Linked DNA regions of Oreochromis niloticus. The protein of the gene in region 2 interacts with the protein of the main gene of each other region in a pairwise test. Links are inferred from orthologs where the notes say so. Each region holds a gene or a part of one and is shown on either strand. Other genes may lie near its edges.

The links.
Region 1: the proteins of stac3 (region 2) and zcchc10 interact in binary tests that used the Homo sapiens proteins (3 or more experiments, as listed by UniProt). The two-hybrid records come from large-scale screens. The link is inferred for Oreochromis niloticus from reciprocal best matches to the Homo sapiens genes STAC3 and ZCCHC10.
Region 3: the proteins of stac3 (region 2) and eaf1 interact in binary tests that used the Homo sapiens proteins (3 or more experiments, as listed by UniProt). The two-hybrid records come from large-scale screens. The link is inferred for Oreochromis niloticus from reciprocal best matches to the Homo sapiens genes STAC3 and EAF1.
Region 4: the proteins of stac3 (region 2) and srek1ip1 interact in binary tests that used the Homo sapiens proteins (3 or more experiments, as listed by UniProt). The two-hybrid records come from large-scale screens. The link is inferred for Oreochromis niloticus from reciprocal best matches to the Homo sapiens genes STAC3 and SREK1IP1.

The regions. Positions count from the first base shown.
Region 1 is NC_031975.2:20,408,422-20,415,739, reverse strand, and holds the start of zcchc10 (zinc finger CCHC domain-containing protein 10), read right to left. Parts: upstream 3,155-7,318; 5' UTR 3,061-3,154; coding exon 3,020-3,060; intron 33-3,019; coding exon 1-32. Other genes in the region: hspa4a (heat shock 70 kDa protein 4a), read left to right, coding at 5,325-5,431.
Region 2 is NC_031984.2:24,445,097-24,452,827, reverse strand, and holds the start of stac3 (SH3 and cysteine-rich domain-containing protein 3), read right to left. Parts: upstream 3,430-7,731; 5' UTR 3,117-3,429; intron 2,466-3,116; 5' UTR 2,433-2,465; coding exon 2,425-2,432; intron 1,955-2,424; coding exon 1,876-1,954; intron 1,458-1,875; coding exon 1,301-1,457; intron 1,193-1,300; coding exon 1,095-1,192; intron 971-1,094; coding exon 910-970; intron 1-909. Other genes in the region: mbd6 (methyl-CpG-binding domain protein 5), read left to right, coding at 6,363-6,478. UniProt on the Homo sapiens protein: Required for normal excitation-contraction coupling in skeletal muscle and for normal muscle contraction in response to membrane depolarization. Required for normal Ca(2+) release from the sarcplasmic reticulum, which ultimately leads to muscle contraction.
Region 3 is NC_031976.2:30,462,703-30,470,513, reverse strand, and holds the start of eaf1 (ELL-associated factor 1), read right to left. Parts: upstream 3,216-7,811; 5' UTR 3,076-3,215; coding exon 2,973-3,075; intron 2,601-2,972; coding exon 2,506-2,600; intron 844-2,505; coding exon 707-843; intron 592-706; coding exon 419-591; intron 213-418; coding exon 1-212. Other genes in the region: tRNA N(3)-cytidine methyltransferase METTL6, read left to right, coding at 3,638-3,928, 4,427-4,561, 4,858-5,028, 5,309-5,450, 5,744-5,886. UniProt on the Homo sapiens protein: Acts as a transcriptional transactivator of ELL and ELL2 elongation activities.
Region 4 is NC_031980.2:34,248,972-34,256,973, reverse strand, and holds the start of srek1ip1 (protein SREK1IP1), read right to left. Parts: upstream 3,214-8,002; 5' UTR 3,068-3,213; coding exon 3,055-3,067; intron 1,325-3,054; coding exon 1,277-1,324; intron 970-1,276; coding exon 817-969; intron 553-816; coding exon 477-552; intron 161-476; coding exon 1-160. UniProt on the Homo sapiens protein: Possible splicing regulator involved in the control of cellular survival.

The DNA.
Region 1 (7,318 bases), on a different chromosome or scaffold from region 2:
TCTGGCAGCGCACATGTTGTTTGTTTGCTTCCCTGTAAGTAACAACAAAGGCTAATATGAATGTAAATAAACATGGCTGCAGGTTCATCTCGTTGCTGTCACATACAGTTGTGGTAAGAAGTTTACATCCACTCATCATGGGTGTTAATGTCATGGTAAGTTTGGACTTTTAATGACTTTCTTGGATTCCTTTTTTTTCTCCCCTCTATCCCCACAAAGTGTCAAATGTATGCATACATGCTTAAATAATATACATACACTCCCTTAAATATTTTAATAAGTGGCATTGAAGGTTTCACAATGTCTTTTAACATGAAAGGTCAAAGCCTATTAACTTATCATTAGTGATCATGACTGACTGCAAGTGGTAGTTTCTCTTTGCCAGCATAAAAAGGATTTGGCTTACAGCACTCACTGGATTGTAGGGCTGCACGATTAATCGTTAGAAAATCGCGATCTCGATTCATACTTATGTGCGATCTCATTTCCAAATGACAACGATTTAAAAAAAAAAAAAAAAAAAAAAAAAAAAAAAGGACGACGATTGTACCGCATTTTGATCCAGGACGTAATCTGCATGAAAACAAGCGCTCACCCTTCCTGCTCAACAAATGACATGGGCGGAGCCTTATACCACGTGATACAGAAGCTGTGCAGTGATGCTCAAATTGGCAGGGAAAAAACAACGGAGAACACGTCAGGGATGACGAGAAAGTAACAGGAGAAAATTTGTGCCGGTCAACCACCCAAACATCAATAACGGGAACCTTATACAGCGCTTCCCTATACACGTCGAACTCCCGCAGGCTCAAAGAAATTACGGAGGCTATTACTTATCACCTGACCAAAGATATATCAACACTGTGCAAAACGAGGGATTTAGGAAAATGATCAACACCCTAGACAAACGCTACACAGTGCCGTCCCACAACTATTTTTCTATTGTTGCACTACCTGCTCTATACACGCGGTGTCGAGCAACGGTGGAGACAGAATTTCAAGCAGTACAACATTTTGCGGCAACCACAAAATGTGAGGCATTTATTGTTTTTATTTTTATTTATTGTTTTTATGTTCAGTTTCAACTGTTACGAAGTTGATGTGCAGTTAATAAGTGCAATAAATATTTATATTGGAAAAGAAAATCGTGAGAGAATCGTGATCTCAATTCTAGGCAAAAAAAAAATCGTGATTCTCATTTTATGCAAAATCGTGCAGCCCTACTGGATTGAACTGGGAAAGCCCAAGGAACTTACTGAAGATCCACAGTAAGAAGGAGAATTCCAGTTTTACACAAACTGGGAAGTTGTATTGGAGAAATTTTATTCAAATGTGTCACCCAGGAACAACTGAGGAACCACCAACGCTCGATCCCGATGATGAACTGGAAACTGCTGGAACATCAGCATCACGGTCCACAGTGAAGCTAGTTTTACATTGCCATAGACTGAGAGGGTGCTGATCAAGCCTCTGCTCCAAAATCAACACTTTCAAGCTCAACTGAAATATGCTGCTTCCCACATGGACAAGTCAAATGGCTTCTGGAGAAAGGTTTTATGGTCTAACGAGACAAAAAATTGGTGCTATTTGGCCACAACCACAAGATGTATGTTTGGAGGAGTAAAGGTGAGGTTGTTAAACCTAAGAACAAGCATGGTGGTGGTAGCATCCTGCTCTCTGGCTGTTTTCGTGCAAGCGCTACCTGTACATTGCACAAAGTTGATGGAATAATGAAAGTGGAGGACTACTTCCAAATTCTTCAACTTCCCCTCAAATCAACAGCTAAACATTTGGAAGTTGGACACAATTAGATGTTCCAAATGGATAATGATCCTGAGCAAACATTAAAACTTTGTTTTTTTAAATGGGGGGGGGGGGGGGTCCAAGCTTCTGGAATGGCCTTCCCAAGGCCCTGACCACAACCCTATTGAAAATTAAAAACCAGGTCAGTGCTAGGAAACCAACCAATTTAAATATACTCTTACAATTCTGCAAAGTAGAGTCCTCAAATATCCAGCCAAAAATCTGACAGTAGCTTGTTGATGGCTACCAAATGAATCTGGTTGAGGTGCAACTTGCTAAAGAACATTTAACCAAATATTAGTGGAGGTGTATGCGATATTTAAGCCTGTATATATACACTTTTGATGCCATGTGGATTAGAGAAAATCCAAAATAAATTTAAACCTGTTCTTGCTTTCTTTTAACGTCATTAAAGATGTACGCTGTACAGTAATCCCACCCTAGAGAAAGAACAGATCAAAGAAATCATTAAAAGCCCCAAATTTCCATGACCACAACTGTAAATGTTCATGAACTTTACAAAAGTACAGCTTTGTAGTTGCTGAAGAAGTTGGAAGTTTTAACTTCAGCAGTGCTTTAAAGGTGCTTGTTCTACAGTGAGTAAATATGCAGAGTATATGAAGATGGGCTGACCTCCTATTCTTATGAATTTAAATGCTCATTAAAGAAAAACGGTAATGAAAAGAAGCACCACCCTGCAGTTCTACTTGCTCAAGAAGAGATGAAATCATTTTCACGTATCAGAATAAGTTCAGGTGCAAACTCGAGACCAGTGATAAATGGCTGGGAAAAGGAGAAAAAACGAGCATCAGCGGGAGATTCCTGTGTTGCAATTCAATGCAAAAATATTTTCAATATTTCCTCACAGACACTAAAATGCGGCAGACTCAAAAATCCGCCTGACTTTTATAAACAAGTGAGCGCAGAAACGTGACAGACACCCGACATTTCATTTGTCGTTCCTGAAACAGATAGTGTGACAACAGTGGCATTCACGGCCTCAACCAGCCTTGAACAGGCACCCTCTACAAGAATAAACAAGCTAATAATGATGTAGAGCACAGACTGGCGCACTGGAGCTGCGCTCACTGTTCACCGGCCCCTGAGTCTGACACAGAGCTCGAGCAGCTGAACCTCACTGCTGTTCAACAGCCTGTAGTACTCACGAATATACAAAACCCACAGCGATACAGTCGATTAATAGTATCATACTCACGCTTGCCTCCTGGCTATTAATCTATGCATGGGAGTCGCCATGTTGCAGGTTACTTTTTCTTCTTTGTTGGCGTTAAATCAGCGCGTATTTCCGGTCCAATCAACTCCGTTATCGCCTCCTATGGGTAAGGATGGTCTACTGCATGTATTTATAATCATTAAAATTTAATTAACAGCAGCCCTGACGTTTTGGCTAGTGGTTTTTTTTTTTTTTTTTTTTTTTTTTTTTTTTTTTTTTTTTTTTAATAATACTGTGCAAAACTCTTGAGCAACTCCTCATCATTCTTGATATTTTGCTTCTAAGAAACAGGACATTATTGTAAGTGGTCTTGAGCAATAGTTCTGCATGCTTCCTGAATTCTGTCAAAGTTTTCCTTTGGACATTCACTGTTATTTTCCCTGTTTCAGTCCAGTCTTTGTATGTAACCATTTCCTGAGGAATGTTTTGTTTTTGTTTAATACACTTAACTCTGACCTATTCAAGCATAAAAAAGCCATCTAAGGGATAAATGAGTATGGTGCCCACACAGATCAGACAATTAAACACACAATTTCAAATTGTATATTGTTAAATTGTAATCGACAATTACAAAAAAAGCTCTCTTCTGCAGATGAGAAGTATCTCAAAGTCATCCTTAAGAAACAGGACAAAATCCAGTAAAGACCTGACACTGGCCCTTCTCGTAATCCATCTACTGTTTGACGAAATGGTCTCAGTGAGTGTCAAGAAGCCATTCTTAAGAATGGGAAACAGCCTGAGGTATGCTAAATTAGAAAAAAAAAAGTGGTCTGAAAATCAGAGTAATTTGAAATTTATGAGTTGAATCGTCATCAGTTTGTGCAGAAGAGGTCAGGAGAGAGGTACAACTGTGAGTGTCTGCAGAATCTGTAAAACAAAACGCAGACATGAATCTCCACCATCATGTAAATCTCATGGTGTTGGAGATCTTGTTAAAACTGATAAATTATGACTGCAGAAAAGCACAGTCAGAGTTTGATCCTCCACGCAATATAGTCTGGAAAGCATGACAGTGATACCAAACGCACTGCCAATACAGCAAAAGCATTATCCAAATATGTGTACAAACTCACAAACTCAGTTTTTTCTTGTATTTTCATTTGGTTTGAACATCTTTCAATATCTTGGTGCATCGATTTCCTATGTTTCAAACAAAATATAAATAAATGAGACTTTAGTGCAGTACTGTGATACATGTGATTCATTTATACTACATTAAAGGAAAAAATGTGCCTCACATAATAATGTTACGTTTACAATCAGCATATAATGGGATATAAACATTCTGTTTATCATAGTTCTCCCCAGCTTCTTATTTCCACTTTCTGTGGAAACAGTTACTGAGGTTAAGCATTCAGTTATCTGTCACCAACACAGTGCACACTTTCAGCAGTCAAGTGTCATCACACCCACCCACATTTACGATTTGTCAGAGCTGCGTTTACATGTCATCAGCTCTCTTTTCTGTTTCATAGATTCTTAAATAAATGACATTTTGTTTTTGCAAACCAAACCAAAAAAAGTGTTATGTCAGCTACTATTTTATACTAATTATTTATAATGATTGGTAATTTTATATCATGAAATTTACTAAGTATTAAAGGAGAACGTATTTAAAAACGAATCTTTTTCAGTAACAACAACTTTTAAAATGGCTATGCTTTAGTTATTTATAATTAATTTGTTTAATGTTATTATATTTTCTTATTTTCCCGACGACTTCGTTCTGAGCTGGGCCATTTACATTTTTTATTTCTAATGAAATAAAAACAAAAAAACAAAAGGGGACAAAAAATGACTTCATCACTTTTTGCATCACAGTCTATTTTTGTTTCCCCACCCTGATTCGATCCCAGAAATCATCAAGCTAGTCATTTGTTGATTTCAGTTACTGTCACGGTAAACCTTAAACTTAGAGGTTATTTTTTTTATTAAATAAGAAGAAATTTATGGAGTTTTCTCCCTACACCTCGACTGTTGGAGAACAGTCTTTCACGTGGATATGGAAAAGTCCAGAGAGCTCTAGAACCATGTAAATCTCGCGATGTCTGCGGGCGAGACGTTAGTAAAGCAGACCTTGCCGCTGCAGCCTGCCAGCACACATCAGAGACACCGGCAACAATCAGCGGTGTGGATTATGAGTAGAAGTATTTAAGACAGAGCAGCTTAACAACTTCACTTGACTGGAGCATCTTTTTTATGTTTTAAAATCTAGTTACAGGTTTATTTTCTTTACAGAAATCATACTGTATACAAAGCTAAACCTAGGAGACACATATCGCTGAAGATGTCAGTGGTGGGATTTGACTTGGGCTTCCAAAGCTGCTATGTAGCTGTAGCCCGAGCTGGAGGAATCGAGACAATCGCCAATGAGTACAGCGACAGATGTACACCGTAAGTACCAAGTAAAATCTTATTATAGTTTGTGAAGGATAGCTACAGAGGACAGGTTTTCATTTATAAGTGTTGTCTCACCGGCATCGCTGTAATACACGTGAACGCAGCTTCTCTGCTTTCAGCGATCATTTGTGCTCATTGCTGGGAAATTGAACTGCTTTTCCGTGTAAGTTAGTGACACATTTCTCAGCCTGTCTATGGTGAACATGGAACCATCTAGAAATTAACTCATAAGGCGCACACCACCTTCAAAGACCGATTATGAAGCTCCGGCGAGCTAAGCAAGTTAGCTGAGCTCATAGTTTTATTAACGGTAATGACAGTCTCGAGAATTGGTGTGGCTTCGCCGGTTAAAACACGACCGGGCGGTGTTTGCCACCTGTCGTTTTTAAGTAGTGGTACTTGTCTTCAAGGCGTAAGCTCCGACCAACCGGTGTGCCCCGTGTGGCAAATTGTACGCCTTGCGTTATGCTCTGTACGATGACGACAGCGGCCAATCTCTTGTTGGAATATTCTAGCAAATTTTTATGTCTTTTTGCCTTTTTAAACGGTGTAAGGTTATATACTACTTATTATATGAAAAACATATTGTTATCAGAGAGGTTGTTTAATATTGTTTGAGTTCTGCTTATTTGGGTTCATGGCGCATTTTGTAATTCCATCAGTTAGATTTCAGTCATCCTGACTGATTTTTAGTCTTTACAGTATTTCCTCTTTTGTAAGAGTTTAACGTTAATATAAAGCAGACAACAGTTACTGAATGTTATACACTGCATAAGTACAGTCACTGGTTTTGAATGATTAACTGGTATATTTATAGATGTATCATTAAAATTTAGAATTTCCTCCCAAAGAGTAATAATCAAATGAAATAAGACCAGTTATTATATTGTAATTTATTTATAACGTTTGTATTAAACAGGGAAAGAAAAAGATAACATTAATGCCCAGTTTATGCTTAGTTGTGCACCTACTACTAAGTCAGAAAAATTTCATATATATAAAATGGGTTTTACGTCATGGTTATATGAAATATGTATACATCATTAAGTTGCTGTCTTTATTGTGAATCAACCTGGACTTTTTAAAAATTATTTAGTTTTATTCAATTTTACAAGGCAAACGTGTGTCAGAGAAGTAGATCATGTATAAGATAATTTGGTGAATAGAAAGATTATACATCAGTTTCTTGGTGTGTGTTTATATATTACACGACAAATTCACATTCAGAATTTAAACACAGAATCTCATGTTGAATATTCGTAACACACTTGGTCTGTAAAGGCTTATACTTACTGAGTAAAAAGAAAACAAATACTTTCCTGGTAACTTGCACAATGTTTTGTCTGTTGCCCACATAAATATGTTGCATTAAATTTTGAAAAATTATGAATATTGGACATTTTTTGACAAATATTGAACTGTTTTTGTGAACTTGCTCTCTACTACATCATAAACATCACAAGCATCACTGTATAAAGTCCTTTGAGTGCTCAAATAGAATAGAAAAGCACTTTATAACAACCAGTCCATTTACCATACAACTTCCTGTCCTGCTCTTGATTGAAGATCAGCATCCGCTGAGTGACTCTCCTCAGAGACGTGTATTGTTGACAAATCTTAGACATCACCACACTCCACTTGTGTGTTCATAGCAACGCTTGCTGTGTGTCATCAGCATCTGTGTTTGATAGAGATGGTGATGAGAGGCAAGCCCTGTGTGATTTAAGTGGACTTACCACACCACTTCAGCCTGTGTTTACATAGTACAGACAACGCAAAACTTAAACAAGCCAGTCTGGAGCCTCAGTCCAGGTTTCAACAAGGATTATTTAGAAAAGTGCTGAGATCAACTAGTTAAAAATTGTGACCAGTGTAGATTGG
Region 2 (7,731 bases):
CTGGCTAACATTAAGCTTCTGCAATGGTCTTTGACTTCAAACATAAAAATTTGTGGACTATGCTGGTTGGATAGCAGGAAGCCAACAAATTTATACTAATTCTGCTAATTCTGCCAAGATGAATGGTCAGAAGCTCGTTGATGGCTACCAAATTTGTCTGGTTGCGGTGCAACTTGCTGAGAGACACTGAACCAATTTTTAGTGGGGCTGTATGTAAATATTTGAGACCACATGTATACTTTTGACCCCTGTATAGATTATATATTATAAACTTGTGCACCCAATTATTGTTTTTTTCAAGTCACTAAGGGTGTATGCTGTACAATCATTTCCCCCTGGAACAAGAACAAATCAAAGAATTAAAATGCTAAAATTACCATGACCTTTGTGATAAATTCTTCTTATTATTAAATCACTAATATTTAGCAGTTGGAGCCACTGCAGTTGCTGCACGAAGGACCAGGGGAAATAACAAAGTGAAGGTAAGTGAATGTGAATTACGGAGGGAAAATAAACAAAAAAGAGTTTGCTGTTTCACTTTACTTGGTTTCTTATTTTAGTGTTAACTAAATGTATGAAGCACTGGGATAAAAGGATCAGTGTTATAGTGACATTGATACATTCTGCTGTTTTTCTAAGAAATATTATTTCCCAACACAAAGGTCAGAATGTTGCTTGAGCGTCTGCTTTACACTGTTCTTTAAAAATGTCATTAAATTAATCATTTCAAGCATGTTTAAGTTTAAAAATATTTAAATGCACCTTGTCAAATATAATGATCGTAAGTGTTGCTAAAGAGGAAATGCAGACACCGTGCTTAGTTTCCTTTGCGGTAGCAGCCTTGAATTTAAGGTTAAGAAATTTAGATACACAAGAGATATATTGCCATGCCAGATTCAGTGGACTCACTTGGGTCTGGTTGGTCACTGCTGTACAGGGGGGAGCTGTAGGCCCTTCTGAATCCAGGTGGCTACAGGAAAGAAGAAAAAAAGTTTTTAATAAAAGTTTTAAAAAATATATCTCTCTCACTCTCGAGGGCAGTAAAAGGAAACTGCAGATATAGTTTCATATCCAGTGCACACCAGCAAACTCACAATTTTGCCAAAACACCTCTGAAACTCGACATACGACTGACATGAGTGGTGGATGTTGGTCTTACAGTTTTTGCATCTCAGGCAAAATTTGTTGTTCACTGAAAGATGAGGAACCAAAATTAACAGTCTCAATCTTTAGAACAAATACCTATGGGATTATATGATGATTGATTATTTATAACATTAATATAAAAAACAGCACTTACAGACTATCATGCGAGCGCAGACGTCACAAAACTTGGGCTTCTTGCAGTAGTGGTCCTTGAATTTGTGGGGTTTGTCATTGACCCGGACGATGGGCTCTGAAGGAGATTCTGGTTCCTTCTCCTCCACCTCCACTTCCTCCTCATATATGAAATAGACCTGCAGACCCAAGGGACATATCTCAGACAAAAACCCCCAACAACAAACATGTGATAGAGTTGTTATATAAGTTGTTATTAAAGTTTTTAAATGTTAAACATACTGAGCTGCCAGTGTCAATGTCACACAGTATTATGAAGTATTACATTAGTGTCTTGCCTTGTTTGTTTATCAGCTGGTACCTGATCTCTGTCTTACATTTAGCTTTTCAGGACCTAGTGAATAACATTTCGATGACTAATCCAGATCAGCCAGCAGTGCTCATTTTTTCCATAAGGTTGTATAAGACAGGGACACTTAAGCTCATATTGTTTCCAGCTGATGCTGCACTGCAACCCTGTCCCAGTTGGTGGCTATTTTAAACAGCCCAAGAATGGCACTGCTAATGGCGGGGGGTTGACATGGTGCTGTCACTCACAGTGTCTCCGTCCTCCCTCACTACATTGTCAGGAGCTGGGGGGTTGTCATGGATATCCACAGAGTTTTTGTCATCGTCCCTAACACACACACACACACACACACACACACACACACACACACAGCCATGAGTGAGGTTAACTGCTGCGACTATAGATAGTTATTTTATTTATTCTCAACATTATGATCACTTTTTATTCTAAAGGAACATGTAAGCATATAAAGCGAGGAAAAAGGTTTTGCCTATAAACAAACTTTAAAAAAACACAAGTAAAGTAAAACTCCCATTCCACCTTAAAATAGTAGAATCGTGGCAATTTAATATACGACTCAATTTGTTTAAGGATATCCTTGCCGCACATTCTTTCAAGTGGACATAGAGCTGCTTTAGACACAGATGATGCTCCAGAATATTTTTCTGGCATGGGCTACTTCAGTATTTAGTAAACAGGAAATGGAATTAAGACTTAAATGGTAAAGAAGTGCTACAACCAAGCCAATAAAATGAGTATCAAGAGGCAAGTATATTGATTTTAAGAATTATACTTACGGATCCATGGTTTGATGTAGACAGCGTCAGTTCACCCCCACCTAGAAAGTGAACAGTTAGGTGGGTTTTTTTCCCGAAAGATGAGACAGTTTGATAAAAGTGATATCATGAGAGAATGTTCTACTAATTATTTGTTTACTCAAAACTTTGAATGACTTAGCCCATATGCACTATTATGTCAAATTGTTTTCAAAGTAGGTGAAAAATCAAATACATATTCCTGAACTTCTTAGAGGGAAGTTTAAAGAAATATTAGAAAATAAGCCTGCATTTGGTTTTTTATTAAAAATGTATTTAAAAAAATATCAAATATGGTAATACAATAGAAAATATATTTCTGTGTCTGTGTGAACGCTACATGCACTTGCATATCCACACAGTGTTAGAATGTGCTTGTCTTCTATACTATTCTAGGGTTGTGAAATTTAATCTCATCACAGCTAAATTTGGCTGCCTCTGTCAGCCAGGAAAAAAGCAACTAAAAATTAAGAAAATGTTATGGAAATAAAAAAAAAAATCATAGTTTGTAAACTGACAGAGATAATCTCAGAGTTGGGGTTGTTTAGCTCGTGTTTTAAAACTAATGGAACTTCACTCAAATTAATTCAAATAAACTGAGTGATTATAACACAGGTCATGCACAAACATTTTTTTCCATTAAAAACATTCTTTAAACTACAGCAATAACCTACCTTTTGTCTAAATTTGTACAGATCGCACTGAAGAAATCATAAATCCGGTGTGCTGGCAAAATCTCAGTGAATGGGTTTTCACCTGCTGGCAATGACCAGAGCCCTGTATGGTCAGTATGTTACAAAGCAGCTTCACTTCAGGCCCTCGGGATGCTGGGCTGTCACAAAGTCTGGTCCCTCTGTCTTCTTTAGATATTTTCCAAAGTGACTTTAGGTTGTAGTTTGAGTGTATATCTGGAGTTGTGTATCTATGATTTTGGGTGTGTGCTTGTGTGCATGCCAGGCTTAGCGGTCCTATGTCAAGCTGACACTTTGCAACAGCTGAGGACCTTGGACTGAGCACCGATGACGGGGGGGAAATCAGATACATTTTCTCCTTCTGTCTTCAATACATCTCTTTCCCCTTGTCCCACTTGTTCACAGACAACAGAAACACTGCTAAGCATCCAAGCATTCCATATCATGCTGTATCTCTGTGCATATTAATTATTATTATCGTTGTGCTATACAGTTATGATATGCCCCTTACTATGTTTTACTACAGATATATATGTATATATATATATATATATATATATATATATATATATATATATATGTACATGCCTTAATGGATAGAGTATGTTTAACTTTTCATTTAAATTTCGTGATATGGGCCACAAATGCAGTGTAGACAGGCGGAAGTGAATCCACTATTGTCAAGTGAACACATGTTATTATTCTGTCATTATCATGTCCTCTGTCAAGGAGCTGAACACAGCTTCATTCAGGTCTGTCTGGAACACTACAAAGGTCCCGTTGCATGTCGGGTACAATATTCCTTAAGCGTCTAATGCGCATGCTCAACAGTAAAAACTCCATTATTTTTTGCTCGGAATTTGTGAGAAAAAAAAAACAGTGGGCAACTGTGAACTGGGGATTACATGGGCCGTTATGGTTGTCGGAATATATTTGAAAGCTCCACGGTTTAGCAGAAGAGAAAGCAAAACAACGGCCGGATAGCTGCAGACCGGGAGCGGGACATCCTTCAGTCTTGTCGGGACACTCCACAATCAAGTAAATTTCAGTCAGTTAGCTGACTGGCTAGCTAGCCTAGCTGGTTGCAGCGTTAGCTCCGAGATCCCAGGCGCAGTAAAATGAAGCGTTATTGCCCTTTGTTTTTAAGTCGGACTGGCAGACGTTGTATGAATGCTGAGAGCTGAATGAGCACACCGCTGCGGGAATTGGATTACACAATGACTTATTTTGCGCTCATTTATTAAAGTATCAGCCGTTTTCAAAACATTATCTGGCTAGCCCGTTTGCTAGCCAGCTAACTCTTGATTCTCCCGCGAGCCAGAAAAGCCAAGACTCCAAAACTTCGCCAACACAGAGCCTGACGCAGAGAAAAGGTTGGTAGGACCTGCTACTATTGACGTTAGCTAACGGATATCAATAAGTAAAGTGTGATGTAGGTATCCGATTTATAAGAGGTTTTTTCACAACGCGGTATTGTGCGTGGGTCGTATGTTGTTACTGCAGCTAACGGGCAAGAGTTTTGTATTGGAGTGTTTTGTGCGCCTGACAGCTGTCACGACAACACAGTACAAAGTAGGGTAGCTTGCTAGCCTAGCTGTTAGCCTGGACGCTAGCTGCCGTGTATGAGCCGTGTACTTTGTGGGATGTTTTTTCATACTTTACGCAATTTATGATACAAAATTAAGAAAAAAAAGGATACATCAGTTCAGAGCTATATTAATTGCTCTTTCATGTGCCAGGGTGTTCGCTTCGGAGTTGGTTGTTGCAGCTGCTTATACTGTCGCTAAACACTGAGTAAACTACGGGCCTAGGCAAACACACCCTTCTACTTCAAAGCAGCTAGAGCTTACTCTGAAGTTCTTCTGGAGAAGACTAATACATCTGATGTAGTCGTTTTTCAAACACGCTTAGATCATATCAGTTACAGAATAGGTTTATTGCACGATATCTTTACCGCGGGGGTCGCTGCCAGATTACATAATCCACCTCCACCTTTCTTTGCAGGCTCTCCACCTTCACCCACATCCCTACTCTGATGTGAACTGAACTAATAAATCTGCAGGAGTCATCCTTTAAGTGAGGGATCTGCCTCATAGCTGAAGAAAGTCGAGGTGTTTGGGCAAGTCAGGTTTTACTGGCAGTGTGCTTCTAACCCACCAGCATGTACACTGGACAGTGGATACTCTAGCCAAAACAGATCCTGGCTTCCCAAAGATGACAAGGTATGCAACTTTCTTTTTGTTTGTCTTGGTATTACTTTTACATTGATAATAAACCAAAAACCTTTCTTTTGCTGTGGCCACTCCCCCTTTTCAACATGTTTACATCACATTCATTCTCTAGGGGCTTGTATTATCTTCAGCACAGACATAAGAAAAGAAACTGCAGGGTACTTTCCCAGAACTTTTTGACACACAGATGATAGCTAAAAAGTAAAGGAAATGATGCTGAATTAGTAGAGTGGAATTAATTTGCAGTGCTTCCCTTGTTCATGCTGCTTACTTTAGTTCAGATCTTGGCTGATTTCATCACCACGCATAGGGTACATTTTGTAATGTTTGATATCCGACATCGATATTTGATGTTGTGTAATAAGCTGAATGTGACCTCAACATTAAGCATGCAGGTTGGTTGAAATAAAACATTAATGATCGCAAGATCTTTACTGCAGAAACATTCACCCATCTTTTGTGTTTACTTTTTTCAGTGACTCACTCAGGCTTAGTGAACTTCCCTGATACTTGCACAATATACAGTTAAATGAGGAAAGCTCTTTCAGAAGAGAAGAGCAAAATTTATTGTAGCATAAGCATGACAAATTGAACTATTTTTCCAGTTAGACTCCAAAAAGTCCCAGATGAAAGTGGTGGGGATGAGTAAGCATCTGGTTCATGGAGGCTTTAGTATAGATACCCTTGACAACCCGGATAATGTAGAGATAGCAGGATGAGGGGGCAGGATAGATGGCTTGAAACCCAAAATAGATGCTGAGACTAAACAACTGTTTCCCCCCTTTTAGCATTGGATGTTTTTTCGCGTGTGCTTAAGTAAAGTTGTGCAGTAGGGGATACCACAAGGGTTAAACTTTCCTTAGAAGCAGAGTCCCTGGGTCCACTCTTGACAGGCTGAACTGTTACTACATGATACCTTCATGTTACCCCCCTCCTTATGTTAAAAGACAAGATGTGTTAACACTTCCTGCTTTTTAAGGTGCTGGCAGGCTACAAAATGATGGGAGGCAGTGATACTGTCAGTGGGGACAAGGATGGGGTCCACACCACTGCAATACACGTCCCCATCGGCTGGCAGAGGAGAGTGGAAGGAGGGCAGGTACTCTATGTCAGGTACGTTGGTTCCACACACATGAACTTGCTGATTTTTAATAGTTGGGCAACAGATTTTGAAAGCACACCATGAATAATTGTTACATAATGTATTCTTGAAAAATGACAGTACTGGTTTTGCCAACAAATTTTGGGGGATATTACCTGGCAGGATGACTGCAGTTTTGGATTCGTTTTTTGAAGTTTGTTTCTAGCTATAGACAACAAAGAAGACAAGAAAATGGTTTTTTTTGCACTTTTTAGGAAGTGCAAAGCGAGTAAAATTAAATGTATTCATTTTAATGTTCTATTTATTCTGGGGAGCACTTATTCTGGTTCTATTTATTCTTATTCTGGTAGTTTTAAATACTCATCTATTCAAGCATACCAGGTCTTTGTGAGGGCTCAAAAGCAACTGACAGATTTAGGCTTTCTATATATATATATTATGTTGTTTCTACCAAAGAGAAACATATTTTTTTCTTTGTTATCAGTCGTTCATCCTGAAGATCACCTAAAGACTTCTTTGATTTACTGCAGGTGTGCTCCACTCCACACTTGCCCTCTTCTTTTGCTGTGAAAGGATTCCCCTTGCCTTAAAATACTGGGTAGCTGAGGCAGAGAAAAAAGTATTTTCATTTGGATACCAATATTTTTGTTGAACAGTGGTTTGGATCATGCTTGAATTTAGACATAAAATATGACATTATAAATATGAAATTTTGTATTACTCATTACTCATACTTTTTAGCCACTGAGTTGGAAAGAAACTTGGCTGAAATTAACTGTTCACTTTAATGTTAACCATAACCTGCGTTACTAACTAATAACCCATCTAATGCCAGACACCCCAGCCCTGGAGCAAGACTCTGAAACTTTGCCTTTTTTCAAATATACCCTGATTGAGACTTAACGATTCACAGGAACTTATGCTATATGTTGCTAATTCTCCATGGAATATTTTTTAATTATTGGGCCAGTTTGTGCATTTTACAGGTGTAGAAGCACCACAGGAGTGGATTTGTGTCCTTCAGACTCTCATATGGGTCAGCAGTGTTTGCAGATGACACTAGTGGTTTCTGTCATTGAACTGGATTGAATTAAACCTTTTTTTAATAATTATCTTCTGCACATTCGTACAGTCAGGAGGGAAACTTTTACTCCTTGACTGGGAGTCTCAAGCCTGTAGCTCTCTTGCCCTTCTCCATTAGCTCCCCGTGGCTCTAACCAGGAAAAAAACACAAACTGCATGAATGTTATGATGGAATTGAAAA
Region 3 (7,811 bases), on a different chromosome or scaffold from region 2:
CATGAGCTGGTTGTTTCCCTGCTGCCGGTCAGCTCCTCCGTTGGCCATGGGGTGGCGGCTGGGTGACGTCTGGCTGAGGGGTCGGGGGGTCTCAAGCTCACCGTCGCTGCTGCTGCTGTCATCGCCGCTCCCTGAGGCGCTGCCCGAGTCTGAGGAGCTGCTGCTGCCGCTGCTGCTCATCTGCTCTATCACCTCCACCTCTGCTCGCAGCTCTGTTAAGAACAGCAGGGAATTGCCACAGTTAACACAAAGACATTCAGCATTTATTGAAAAATAGTTTATAACAAACTGTAATGTCCTAATATTTATTTAGAACTATGTGATACTTAGGTGTGTTTAAGGAAAAAACTTTATTAAGGGATTAACATCACAAATAACTCTTCTATTATGAGCTGTGGGCGTGTATCGCCTTCCTTACCTCTCTTGATGTCATCGAGCTGAGGCTCTGGGGAGGGGTTGTCCTTAGACGGGGAAGGAGAGGTTTTGATCCCAGCCCCGGGTTTAGTGGGGGCCCTAAACTGAGAGGTGGGCTGGCTGGACCGAAGTGACTGCTGCTCAATCCGGGCCTGGATCTTACTGCTGCCCTCTGCCCTGTAAAACACACACAACAGATGTGATTTCACCTGGATATATTTAAGAGTAACATAGAAGCCAGCCTGAACTTCCCACTTCAATAACCTTAATTTTGTAATCACTGATATCTCACCTAGTTTTCTTGACCTGGATGCTGCTGCTCAGTTTCTCCAGTACAAAGTCCCCGGTGTCGTGGTTAATGATGAGCACACAGTCCTTCTGGTATGGCCGCTTGTTTCCTTTGAATACTGTCATGGGAGGGGTAGAGCCCTGAAAGAAAAAAAAGAAAATGTATGGACTAAATATGGACAGTCTTGGCTAATTTTGCCAGACCCTATTACATTAAAACAGTGCAAGAAGGTATAATTATACAGTGCTGTGCAAAAGTCTTGAGCCATCCCTTATTCCTGGTGTGACTGACTCACTCACTGACTTCAGTTTGAATTGCTTTGATTGTACAAACTCTGTTTTTACCTTAGATACTGGATTTCTAAATGTGCAAACATAAATAGATATGTAGTATCTAAGGTAAAAACAGACTTTGTACAATCAAACAAGCTTGAAAATCCGTATTTGGTATGACCACTGTTATTCCTCAACATAGCCGGAACTCTCTTAAGTAAGTTTTCTTGTAATTTCTTCGAGTAGCCTCCAGGAATAGTTCTCCATGCTTCCTGAAGGACATTCAAAGCTCTTTTTTGGATGTTGGCTGCCTTTTGTTTTGTTCTCTGTCAAAATAATCTTACACTGCTTCAATAACGTTGAGGTCCAGGTCAATCCACAACTTGTTCTTAAGGACACAACTTTCACATTTTGTTCATCTGATGTAGATTGTATTTTTTGTTTTTTTTAGGCCTACCACTTATTCTTTTATCTTCTAAATGTTCACGTTTCCACTAATTTTCTAAGGATTCCCTGCAAACCATGCTGAGATATGCCATGTATACACCTAATAGCTCTTTGGGAATCACCTGATTGGTGCAAATGTTATGGTATTTTAAGCCAGGCAATCTGTTATAAATTGACTGGCATAAAATACTAGCAATGCTAGAAACAAATTCCCTCTGGAAATGGTATGGTATGTCATCCTTGTTGGACAACATCTCCCACCCCATGCATGAGACTGTGACAGCACTGAGCAGCTCCTTCAGTGGCAGGCTGCGGCACCCACGGTGTGGGACGGAGAGATTTCGCAGGTCTTTCCTCCCCACTGCTGTCAGACTCCACAATAAAGACTTTAACTGATCAAACACACACATCCACAAATGTGCAATAACACTAATGTGCAATAATCTTTTCTGGCATCGTTGTATTTTTACTCAGTTGTATATAGCATTTGTACTCTATTTTTATCTCATTGTATATTTTATTCTATTTTATTCTACTGTATATAGTATTTTATTTTATTCTATTCTGTACAGTTGTGTACTGTATTTATTCTTATTTTATTTTATTCTAATTTTTGCTTCATAACTTTTGCACTGTCCACTTCCTGCTGTGACAAAACAAATTTCCCACGTGTGGGACTAATAAAGGTTATCTTATCTTATCTTATCTTATGATACAATGAATGATACAAGGACTGGACTGAAAGGAGCAAAAAATGCCAGTGTTTAAAAAACCCCCCCAAAAAACAAGCAAAAGAACACTCAAAAAGACCTTGACGAAACCTGGAAAAGTATTGCTCAAACCAACTTAAAAAAACTACAAGAAAGTCTCACAGCTTGGAAGCAAAAGGAAATGAAAAGGTGTTTATAAACTTTTGCACAGTATAGAATTAGAACAGATATTCATCTAACATGCAAGTGCCACACTTCCTGGTAGTACCAATTCAGTCAGTATTTAAGGGTAAAGAATTTGATGCTAAAAGAATGGAAGTTGTTTTATTATTTGCTTAATTTACAGAAAGACGTGCACATCATGCAGTCTTACTGGAATATGAGGTAGTGTTATGGTAACTTCATCTCCTTTCCCAACTTGAAGCTCTCCTTCACAGCTTGTGTCAATCGATGCTGGTTTGAAGTCATCTGAAAAGGAGATACAACAGATAATTTAATCAGGTGCTTTAGGAAACACTGTATGTAGGTAATTATAATTACATAAACATTTTATTATGTCTCTTAAACAAATATCGAAAGATTATGAGCCGATAAACGCAGATTTAAAACCTGAGAATGGGGAGTAAAAAGATAAAATTCATTGTGTATAATGCTGCCACACCATTTCCAACAAATAATTACTTAATTGTTTTCTCCATGTAATTACCCATACACAGACTGTGTAAGACACAGCCTCTCCGTCCATGTGAGAAAGATAGTCTGACACAACAGTAATCTAACAGTGCGCTTTGTATGGTGCCAAAGTTTTATTTAACACATCGCGCAGTCTGTCACACTTACATCTGATGGTGTGAAAGGAAGACTTTGGCCTCTTCTCAAAGCTTTCTCCGAGCTTCAAAACATGCTCCTCTTTGTCCAGCAGCGGATTCGTGCTCCCGTTCATGGCTCCGTTGGTTTAATAGTTACTAAAACTCGCATTTAGGTCAAATCCCACGAAGAGCCGAGAGCAATCTGGCAAGTTGAGCAGGATCAAAATAAGATGCCAACTACAACACAAAGTTAGCTTGCTGTGGCTAACAGTTAGCAAAACATCACGTGGCCACGCCTCTTCCGCTTTTGGTCCGGCTCTCAAATATCGCCGAAAGCGGGCTGTGTTAGCAACTTCACCTGTTTTAGTAAAGTACAAGATTTTTCAAATAAAAAACAACGCATTTCACTACATATTAAATCATGAAAATATTTCCAGTGCTTTAATTTACTCAGTAACGAGTAATTATAGAAAACGCGCCACTCGATGAGAAACGGAATTAAGTAGTAAAGACTACACGACATAATTTAGTTAACGGACAACATGGATGCATTAAATGTGGAAAAAGTACGGCTACGCTCGAATTTGTTTTAAAATAAAACTCTTAATCAGTTAATTGGGTTTAGCATGTTTGAAAAGTCTATTTTTCCATAAACGAGTATAAACAGAAGGTGGAGACACTTTGGGGCAGTTTATCATGGCATTGTCAGAAAGTGGGATTTTCAGTGGTGATATTAACTGTACGGATCCTGGAAAAGAAGAGGAGTCGAAAGACCAAGCGAAAACCCCCACTGCCAGGGTTTTAACTCTGGAGGAGCAGGAAAGACTGAACGGTGAGCGGGCTCTGGTGTCTGACTTTAAACAGATGAAGCTGGAGAAAGAAGCGCAGAAAAACTGGGACTTGTTTTACAAAAGAAACACAACGAATTTCTTCAAGGATAGACACTGGACCACCAGGGAATTTGAAGAGCTCAAGGCATGCCGAGAGGTGAGGAAATATTTACAACAGATGACACCAGAGGAGGCACTTTTACAGGATATTAAATGTAACTGTTTACCGTGTCTGTTTTGAAATATTTGAGTTGTATGACTGACATGCATGTGTTATTATGTGAAATAGATAAAAAATGACTGATTTTAATGTGTACAATGGACACCCTGCTAAACTCCACTGCCAATTCAAAGAAAAATTGAGGCTTCACAGGACATGACTTTAGATTATCAGCTGTGTAGTTTCTCATGTTACTCAATTACCACCTAATAAAGTCAATGGTTTTCTGTAAAGCTGATATTTAGAGGTCAGTTAAAACACAAAGCTTGCAACTTTCAAAAGTAATTTAGCATAAAGGATATTGTAAAAGTTTTTAAGTGAGTTGTTGGAGTTTCACTATTAAAAAATTATTGAGCTGAGTTGAGAGACATGAGTAGACTAATACCTTGTGTTTGTGTCTATTTTTAATTTGTCTTTGTCCCATCTGGCTTGCAGTTTGAGTCCCAGAAGTTGGTGCTGCTGGAGGCAGGCTGTGGTGTTGGAAACTGCATCTTCCCTCTGCTCGAGGATGACCTCAACATCTTTGTTTATGCCTGTGACTTCTCACCACGAGCTGTTGAATTTGTCAGAGTAAGCTCTATTAGTGCAGCTGTAATACTACTTTGTACTGGCTGAATCCATTGAATGCAATCTCATTATTTTGCTACTGGTTACTGAAGGATCCCTAAAATATGCTTTAGATACATGGGATATATAGTTAGCTGCTGTAGTGGACCAGCTGACAGCATTTTGATTTTATGCTCCCTTGTTAGAGAAAAATATGAGGGACTTCAGAATTTCTTCTCTTGGAATCAACATAAAGAGAAAAAGAAAAATACTTAATTTTGTAAATAAAATTCTTTCCTTTGTTTTCTTTGTGTTGACAGCAAAACCCTCTGTACTGCCCCGACCGCTGTTGTGCCTTCCAGTGTGATTTAACTAAAGATGACCTGATGGAAAATGTGCCGGAAAGCAGCGTGGATGTCATCACACTCATCTTCGTCCTGTCTGCTGTCCATCCTGACAAAATGAAGCTGGTTTTGGAGAACATTAGCAGGGTGAGAGCAGACATGGCGTGTGGATAGATTTAGTATAAGTCTGTACTCTCAACAGCTTGTAAAGTTTAAATGAAATGTTATGATAGGTGGGAGAGTTCTCTCTTACTGGAACTACACAAGCACTTCCTTTCTGTACTCATAATGTGGATAAAAATAAATGTTTCATTGAAAGAAGCCTTTAATCTGATGATGTATTTGGTGGTTAATTTCTAGATATGCTTTTAATGTGCCACATTAGTCAGATTGAAATAGTTTAATGTGATTTGCATGTGATCTTAAGGTGCTGAAGCCTGGAGGATTTGTCCTGTTCAGGGACTACGGACTTTATGACCATGCCATGCTCCGATTTAAATCCGGAAATAAGCTGGGAGAGAACTTCTATGTACGCCAAGATGGAACTAGGTCCTACTTTTTCTCTAAAGGTCAGTAGTTTATTTTCAGGAAGTTATTTTTTGTTGATACTAACTTAGCTTAGTTGTATAATTAGATAGATATATATTACCGGTTTAGAAATGTGTGAATTGAGGCTTCACACCTTTTATTTCAGAATATCAGCACGTTCATATGCAAGAACATTGACCTCTCCTTCCTAGGTCACACTTTGTTGAGATAACTTTTTCAAGTAGAGAAGGCTCACTTTATGCATTTCATCTTTTTATGACACATCAGAAAATCCCTAAACCTTGTTTTTTTTTTTTTTTATAACTGCCCTCAGAGTTCCTGGCTGAGCTGTTTGAGAAGACGGGCTTCAAGTGCGTTGCTAATGACTATGTTCTTAGAGAGACTGTCAACAAGAAGGAGGGACTTTGTGTACCCAGAGTCTTCCTGCAGAGCAAATTTATGAAACCAGAGAGCTGAACTTTGCGTTTGTCGCCTCACAGATCTACAGAGGTTTGGCAAAACATACCACTGAGATGTCAGATAAAAACTGGACAGTAAAAGATGAGGGAAATATTTGCCAAAACTTTACCAGAATGGAAATTGGGCCATCACAGGTAACTTAGCAGTATGTACACCTGCTATCTGCTGACCAAACCACCTGAGGAAGGCTCCCAGAAAAGCTCTGCTGCCAACATCTAAAGGGATTCGAATGGATTTTTTTCAGGGGAAAGAAAAGGCGTTAAACATGGTTGTTAAAGCGTGAACAGTTTGAAGTCACATTTTTTTGTAAAAACTTTCACAGTTTGTGATACAGTTCTGAGAAACACTTTAAATATAAACCAGTATTTTGATTGCTAATAGAATTATGACTTTCTTGCTCTTCATTCCCCTAATATTGAGTTCAAGTCATCATTTAAAAATGTATTTTTTTAATAAATGTATTTTAATATTTCCCACATATACTGTGAGAGGACATGGTAATCTGTGTTTTATAATTTCCCACTTTTAAACAATTGTTGAGGATGAAAAAGCAAAGTCTCTCATTCTGTTTATGGTTCACATTTTACGGGCCACGAATCCCTGTGGTGGATACACGGATATCCTGACTTTTAAGAATAAACATACTAAATCTTGACCCTTTTTAAAAAAAAAACCTATCTTAATATCCTTCAGACGATTAAATGAAAATGTCTTCCCTGTGTTCATTCATGTTCATTGTATAGAAACAGAGAAGAAACCTTTAAGGCTACTAGGATGCCAAACTAAGACATCCGCATTGTCCAAAACATAAATACAACCTAGATAATTAAATTATCTATTAATTATAAATTATTATTCTGTAATGTTTTTTCCACTTGTAGATTAAGACATTTCAGTCTATATGAAAAATTAAATGAGCAAGTGTGCGAACAACCTTTGAATCTAAATATTTATTGTGAAGACGTTTTATTTCCTCCTTTAATTTCTGAGTGGCTGTCAATTCAAAGACTAAAAGTAACACGGGCCACTAAAAATGCATAAATTAAAAATCTATTTAATGGAGGAAACACAATAAAGAAAAATCCATGACAGAAAAATTTTATTTTATTTTGTGCTCCTTGTACTCATTTGGAGGACTCCATATTAAACAATTTAGTTGTTAAAAATGAACATTGATCGCACTGGAAAAGTTTTTTTGAAGCATAAACACCTGTAAGCCGTATGAGCACAAAGCTATCAAGATTCTCAACTGTGACACACAAAGGCCTAAAAGAGAACTGCCCTTACTACATTACCGTAAGCTGCTCCCCAAGATCCATATGTTTGCTGTTGTTTCAATTTAACAACAAATGTGAGAGCTTTTATATGTGAATGCAGTTTAGTTACGTTTTTCATTCATGTACATTTGCCTTCATTGTACAGTACGTTCTGTTACAAAAGACCACTGTGGTGAATCTGTTTAGGGCCTGTCAAGCAACTTGCAACATGCGCTAAATGTGGCTTCCTGTTCAGCAGCTGTGTCGCCCACTGGCTTTCCTAGTTTAGAACTCACTAAAGGTTTGTTGTGCCTCTCAACACAGAAATGTAATTTGGTGTTTGACACAGTGCAATTTATTGGCATCACAGTGTTTCATGTCGCAGATATGAAATTACCATTTTCAGATGAGGACCAAAATATAAAACCCCAAACAGATGGCACCCATGGGTGAAACGTAAGATTTTGGGCGTCTTTAGAAATCACAATGAGTATCAAAAGTTCATACATCCCTGTGAAATTTAATGTAGTCAAATAAAATAATCCAAAATGACAATGATTTGAGTGAATGGGATGTGGGTAAAGTTTAAAATATTAAATATGAATATTAAAACATAATGCAATCTTGGAATATATTGAGCTAGTAAAGTGGGCTATATTGTTTAGA
Region 4 (8,002 bases), on a different chromosome or scaffold from region 2:
ATGCTTCCCATGCTCTTTTTTGTTCTTTTTGCTTTTCTTCTTTTGGCTTTTTAGTTTCTTTTTCTTCTTCCTACGCTCTTCATCAGAGGAAGAGCGCGACCTGCTGCGCTTCTTTTTCTTTTTTGAAACCTCCTCTTCGTCGCTCGATGATGAATCAGATCTAAGTAAATATATATTAAAGAGTATTAGAGTATTAAAAGAAAAAACAAATCAAACAACTCAGTTTATCTATGAAGGTAAACACACTTTCATTTCAGAAAAGCAGGCGAATAAGCTTCAAAGGTAATAAATATATACCGAGTCTGACTTGTGCAAATAGTGCAAGTAAATACTCAGGTACTATAAATACAAGGATGACTGCAGTGGAGTACAAGTATGTTACAACACTGTCATAGCTCTATCTTAATACATCAACTCATATAAGATGAACATGTGCAAACAAGTAGATTGGGCCATCAGAAAAATATTTAGGTTACCTCTTTCTTGACTTTCTCTCTTTGCTCTTCTTCCGTTTTCGTCTTCTTTTTCTATCATCATCGCTGTCATGGGAACCTACCACGCAAAAGCAGCACCTTTAATCTCATAACTAAGAGGCCTCATCAAAAATAAATAAATAAAGATAAAGAGCTAATAAAATAACTGCTGTCCAATTGCAAAAATCCACACTTTGGATTTTACTCAAGCTCCAGCTTGTATTGATGTTGACTGGATGCTGAATTATGTAAAACTGCTATATTTATTGCAAATTGCCTTGCAGTAAATGAATGCATATTTTAAAAGCTTACAGTAATCAAGGGCAGGTTAATCAAATCTGACCTTTTTGATGCTGCCCGCTTCGCTTCTCGCTGCGTTGAACCTGAGATTCGTCATCTTCGCTCTCCTCGCTGCTGGTGCTGCTCACATCCAGAACAATGTCCTTATGAGGGTCCACTTTAACAAAATTTCGGCACTCAAATGTTAAATGGCCCGCTGAAAGATGAAAGTCAGAAAGAGCGGTGAGGACACTTTTTATTAACATCTCTGAACCTCAACCTTGAAACTCATAAGAGGAAATGTGAATAAGTCAAAAAATAAATAAATAACATAATTACAATTTACTTCCAAAATAAATCTGGCTCAAAGGCTGGGTAAGAGGCACCATAAAACAGACTCCATCCCAACTGTATAAATCTATAAATCTTTTTTCACTGAGTAAATATGGGAGCATATCAAGCATAACAGTATAACATCCACACATCTCTGAAGCTTGTAGTAAATAATGGTTAGTTTTACTTACGATAGCCACATTTCTTGCACCCAGCTCTGATGTTGTCCTTATTAGGTCCTGTAAGATTGTTAAGAGCTTTTTAATGATTTACATGCAAGTATGCATTCACATTCACCAACTACTTTACTATGTAAACCTGTAATTAAATGCATATGCCTTTACAAGATGAACATACTGGTTGAGCTCTATATAAAGTGCTGAAAGGGTGATAAAGAATGAGCCCCTACTCTGACTTTTAAGCACCCAAAACATACAGTAGGTATACACTCAAAGCTGCTTTATTAAGTACACCTTGCTAGTGCAGGGCTGGACTGCGTTGTGCCTTCAGACCCGTCTTAATTCTTTATGGCAAAGCTTCAACAAGGTGCTGCAAACATTCCTCAGAGGTTTTGATCCAGATTGACATGATAGCTTCACACAGTTACTGCAGACTTGTCGGCTGAACATTTGTGCCGTGAATCTCCTAAGGGTGTCCTACTGGATTGAGATCAGCTGACTATGGAGGCCATTTGAAAACTCATTTTCATCTTCAAGAAACTAGCTTGACATTATTTGAGAGTTATGGCGCATTCTAGTGCTGGAAGCAGCTATCAGGAGGAGGGCACACTTTGGACATCAAGGGGTGGATGGTTAAAAATGATATTCAGGTAGGCTGTTGGATTACAAAGGGGCCCAAAGTGTACCAAAGAAATATCACCCACACCATGACACTACCATAAGCAGTCTGCACTGCTGATACAGGGCAGTATGGATCCATGTTTTCAAGTTGATTATGCCAAATTTTGATCCTACCATCTGACAGCTGCAGTGACATCAGACCAGGCAACATTTTTTCAAATCAGCTACTGTCCAGTTTTCACCTGTGTGGTTTTCTGCTGCTGTGGGCTCTTCTGTGTCAGGGTTCAAAATGTACGTTCACATGTGCGTTCAGAGATGCTCTCCTGCATACCTTGATTGAATAGCTGTTCCTTTCCCATCAGCTCCAGATCATCTGGCCATTCTCCTCTAACCTCTGGCATTAATAAGGCATTTTACACAGAACTGCCACTCACTGGATATGATCTCTTCTTCATTCCATTCAAAACCCCATAGATTGTTTAGTCTGAGTTTACCGACTTTAAATACTTTGACCAGCTCATCGGACACTAACAACCACAGCAGACTCAAAATCACCTTTCCCCTCATTCTGATATTCGGTTTGAATTTAAGCAGCTCACCTTAACCATGTCGACCTGACTAAATGCACCAGCTTATTGCTACGTGATTAGCTGATTGATTATTTACTTTAAAAAGCAACAAGGGTAACAGATGTACCTGATAAAGTGACTAATTGAGTGTATATGTTGTGTGATTTATTGCTATAATTATCATTATCATTATTATTATTATTTTACTCTCTCTACTCAACCAAAAAGGTGATAAGCCTAATGCTACTTACAAGAGTTAATCCTAACAAAAAGTACTAAAATCGAATCCATGACTGTTTATATGGAGTATCTGGACATTTACAAGTACTCTGCTTTACGCCAATTTGTACATCACCCGTCATGTAACCACGTGTGCTAAACGTAGCCAAGTTTCTCGCTGGGTTAGTCATTGCACAGACTTCACATCAAAGGGTCTGTGTTTTTAAAAATACATTAAGCTAGCGTAAACGTAAGCCCCACTTTGTGTTACCAATGCATTAGTTACCCTGTCAGCTCTTACCATTCCAGCGAAACCTACATGAATAATACAATAGAAACTGCGAAGTTAAGTAAGTTACACATTTGAAATATAATTCCCACCTGGTACAGCCATCACTGTGTCCAAAATAAAGCCCCCAAACAGCAAAACTTATTGTTGTTATAGCGCGAATCAGCCAACAGCGTCCTCACACCAAATAACGTCGACAGGAAACACTTGTTCTAGAAACTACCGCGTTCCCCCTGCTTTTGTTCGCGTTTTTTTCCCCTACTGACGGCAGGAAAACCAAACTAGTGGCGCATTATCGCCGCCCGATGGAAAGGAGTTGGCGCAGCAGACTGTGTGACATATTTTCACAAGGATTTCTTGTGAAAAAAACAAAACATAGAAAAGTGAATAATCTAAATATAATGTTCTATTGTCTCCAATGTTTACACTTATATAAACTATGAAGAATCTGCCATCGTCAGACCCTGGTGACGCTATAAGAAAAAAACCCTGAAATATTTGTACCATGCATGACTGCTTTGCCAGTAAAGTCAGCTGTGGTTTTTGTAAGGGGTTAATTGCAGGCAGCTAGAGTCGGACTGGCAGATGGAAAATGTTGACAGATGCATGGCCCCCAGACATGCTCTCATCATCATGTCTGTGGCTGTGACACAAATGCGCGGACACACATACACGAAAACAATCTCAGTCCTGATCTTTTGATGATGCCACATGCTTTAGCGTGGGCTAGTTTTAATGATGTGATTTACCTTCTTTAATATCTAAATGAGGTTCTTTCCAACTACACATATGATGCCTCACAGCTCTGAAGTTCAGCACGGTCAAAGAACTTTTGCACCTCATTTTTATTATTATTAGTTTTTTTTATTATGGTCTTGCAGGAAATAAAAAAAAAAACACACACACACACACACACATGCACACGTGGCTCCAGAGAAAATATAGACAAAAGCAAGATATTTAAAGCAAATAAAATAACTAAAATAAAACTATAAATGCTAAAAATACTATGAAATGAGCCCCCAAACTGCCAAGGTGTTACAGTACAACTAGCAGAAATTATGATCCATGAACTGCATGACCCAAGTCAAATCAGCTTAATCATAAACTAAAGGAAATAAAACAGATTTTAGAGACTCCTAAAAACAACTTCGTATTATGTAATTTTCAACCTCAAATTAGTTACTATTTAGCATTTCTGACCACCTGGATTTAGCTTCTATAGGTTTCCAACAACAACACAAATGAAAACCACAGATGAAGAGAGCCAATAAAACAAAAGGCAGTGAAGGATTTCCAAAATGAATACAGGAAAGCTGGAAATGAATTTGCCCCATTTAACTTCACGCTATTTTCAGTTGGGTTGTGGCTAAAAATTCCCCGGTCCTTTAAATGTTGATTACATGTCAGATTGAATTAGCAAATACATACATAGAATACATAGAAACATCTTCTTTGGTATGTGTGTGTGTGTGTGTGTGTGTGTGTGTGTGTTGGGGGGGGATTTTGAAGTATACCATTAACAAATAAGCATTAAATGCATACAGTAGGCAATATTGAGACCCGAATATGTACATTAACCTGTTCGAAAGACTTTTAAATCCCTTTATCACCAAATTCAACAAGTACTGAGGCAAGATGAGAAGGGCGAGCTGAAAAACACAATATACTGTAGGTGTGTAATACTGCAGTTCTCCTACTAAAACTGGAAAATGTCCTGTAGTGATAAAACGGGAATTCTTTTTGGGGAAACTAGATTACACTTGTGGTCAAAAGTTTACATACAATCACCATGGGGATGAATGTGTTTTCTCTATTACACATAGGATCGAAAGTATACACGCAGGGGTAAAATATGCATACACCCCTACTATTATTTGATTTAATATCTCTTAGCAAGTTACATTTGACTAGACATTTTCGATAGCCATCAACAAGCTTGTCTGCGTAGGTTCTCAGTCATCCAGTTCATGGTACTCTTAGGAGATTGAAAAAAGAAGGCAACTGGACTTCTTTAGGTTTTGTGAAGACATTTCACCTCTCATCCAAGAGTCTTCTTTGTTCTAAAACAAAAGATGTAGAGTACCAGGTATTTAACTCTAGTGGGGTTTGTCCTCTTTGGAGGTGGTCCTGAGGGTCGTTGACCCTCTATTGATCATGTGAGTCATCATATGGGTACTTGTGTGAAAAAAGGTGTGGGTCGTTACCACAACCAGGGATCGCTTCCCAGGTGCTTCAATTCATACCACGTCTCAGATGACCTCAATAGGTCACATGATAATTTGGGTGAACCTCTCAAAGTGGTTTCACCATTAACCCCTACTGATGGTGACAACCCACCCATTTTTTCACACATTGGCTCACATGGGGTCAATGACTCTCAGGACCATCTCTAAAGGGGACGAACCCCACAAGGGGATAACTACCCAGGACTCTGCCTTTTGTTTTAGAATTGGAGAAGACCATTGAATCAGAAGTGAAGCATATTCTCTAAAAGGCCCTAAAGGCCCTAACTAAAAGGCCCCAAAGAATATCCACAAGCTTCTTTCATAATTCTGACTGGATATTTGACCACTTTTCCTGGAAGAATTGGTAGAGTTCATTTAAATTGATTGTTTTCCTGGTAGAGACCCAACGTTTAAGTGTTGTTTTCAATAGGGTTGAGGTTGAGCCGTTCCAGAGGCTTAATGTTAATCTGCTTGACAGTTGGTACAGTGATCTTAGGTTTGAAAGCCTTGCCTTTACTCGTCCAAACATACCTCCCATCATTGTGGACTCACACAGTCATATAACTTGTACCAACTAACAAGAAATTAGCTGGTCAAGATAAGATAAATGTCAAGTTAAAAAACATCATAGAACCTCCAACATCACTTATTATAAGATTTAGGTGAGTCTATATATAGTTTAGCCTGTATGCTGTATGTATACTGTAGATTAGAAAGATGCCAAAATAAATTCAAATTTGTGAATTTCTGCACATAATTTTTATTCACCCTGGAAAAAGAACAGTTCAAAGAATTAATTAAAAGCCCAAAATTACCAAGCCTGTGATGACTGTAGGTAAACTTCTGATCACAGATGTAAGGAAGGCCCTGTTCAGGTATTCAAAAGTCATACTCCTTTATTTGTGATGATGAGAGATGAGAGATGAGAGATGAGATAGCCTTTATTTGTCAGTTGCAAGTCTTTTGCCCACAACCGAGATGACAGACCTTGCCGACCGTACATACAATACAAACATCACATTGGGGAGACAGGTCAGGCCAGGTAGCGAGGAAAAAAACATCGAAATATGTAACACAAAAGGATAATACAGGAATGCACAGATATCAACACACCATAACACAATAAACACAGACAAGCAACATGGGAAAGTGTTCCAGTGTGTACATCTGATCTGGGACCGCTGCAATCTTCGACTGCGCCTCCAACTGACCCGATGTCCACATCAGAGGGGAGGTAAGCGTTGGAGGTGGCGTTGGGTAGGGAGGGTGATGCGTCAGTGAGTGCTGAGACAGTGTCCTTCGCCCTGCCAGGCTAAGTAAACAGTCTTCCAGCCAACCCAGGTGGCCTTGTATGGAATGTGAAGGAACAGACTCAACACAGTCGTTATCAGGAAGTTTTTGTTCAGCTCCAGCCTTGAGCCCACAGCTGGCGCCGAAGGGGTAGCCGCATTATGATGGTGATTTTTCTTTTTGCAAACAACTCATGAGAATTTCAACCTGTTTTTAACACTCCGACACTGGTCTCTCAATCTCCCGTTGGATAGCTGCGAGTTTCTCCATGATGTTATTAGCCATTGATTCCGTGATCTTGTCACTCTTTTGCTCACAGAGCAGATTCTGAGACCTCACGACCGCAGCCAACTGGGAAAAATACATCCATTCAAAGGTATTTTTACCATCTTGCCAAATGGTTATTCTGAGAGTGTGGGCAAGCATGAAGTTTTTAATGAGAAACTGAAAGGATTGAACAGTTTATGTATTTAGACTAAATAGGAAAATAGGAAATCTTATATTTTATTCTCCAAAAGTTGAATCTGTTCATCTGGACGTAGCGTTTTGTGGGAGAAACGTTTCGTCACTCATCCAAGTGACTTCTTCAGTCTCAGCTGACTGCAGGTTTCCCCAACCCTTATAAACAGTCCATTTGCATAATGACTGAAACCAGCCCACTGAAGGAACAATGGGCTGTGAGGTCAGTTCCTTAATCATAATTATGCAAATTCCCATGACCATTGATCAACAATCACTGACCAAAACCCACTGATCAAAGACCACTGATCAATGGCCATGAGTACCATTCACAGAGAGTTGGGGAATGGCTGCAATCACAGCATTGTAAGATGGCGAAAGATGTACCCTTAGGCCCCCTCCTCGATTCAGAGATGGTCTTTCCCTTTTCACGTAAATGGCCTCCTTGACTCCGCGCTCAAACCAGCGTTCTTCCCTGTCCAGGATGTGTACATCCTCATCATTGAAAGAGTGTCCACTGGCCTGTAGGTGTAAATAGACTGCAGAGTCCTGGCCTTTTTGCCCATTGTTCCTTCAGTGGGCTGGTTTCAGTCATTATGCAAATGTACTGTTTATAAGGTTTGGGGAAACCTGCAGTCAGCTGAGACTGAAGAAGTCACTTGGATGAGTGACGAAACGTTTCTCCCACAAAACGCTACGTCCAGATGAACAGATTCAACTTTTGGAGATTTACTTTCCTGGATGATTGAGAATGCATCAAGACTTATATTTTATTCTGAGCTTTTTGCATTTTTAATGTTTTTGGCTGCCTTGCTTGGCCAACTCCCCCCTTGTGAAAAAGATCTGATCTTAATAGGAGTTCCTGGCTAAATAAGGGTTCTTATAAAAGGGAGGAAACCAAATTATACATCACAACTCGCTCAAGACTGATTCACGAGAACACAAACAATGGCTGACCATCACAGATAATTGTTCTAAATGAAGGAGGAATAGCTTGCAATCGGCTGGGGAAAGTGGAAGGAGTGACACCATCTTGTGGTCAAACAGAAATAACACAAAGCTC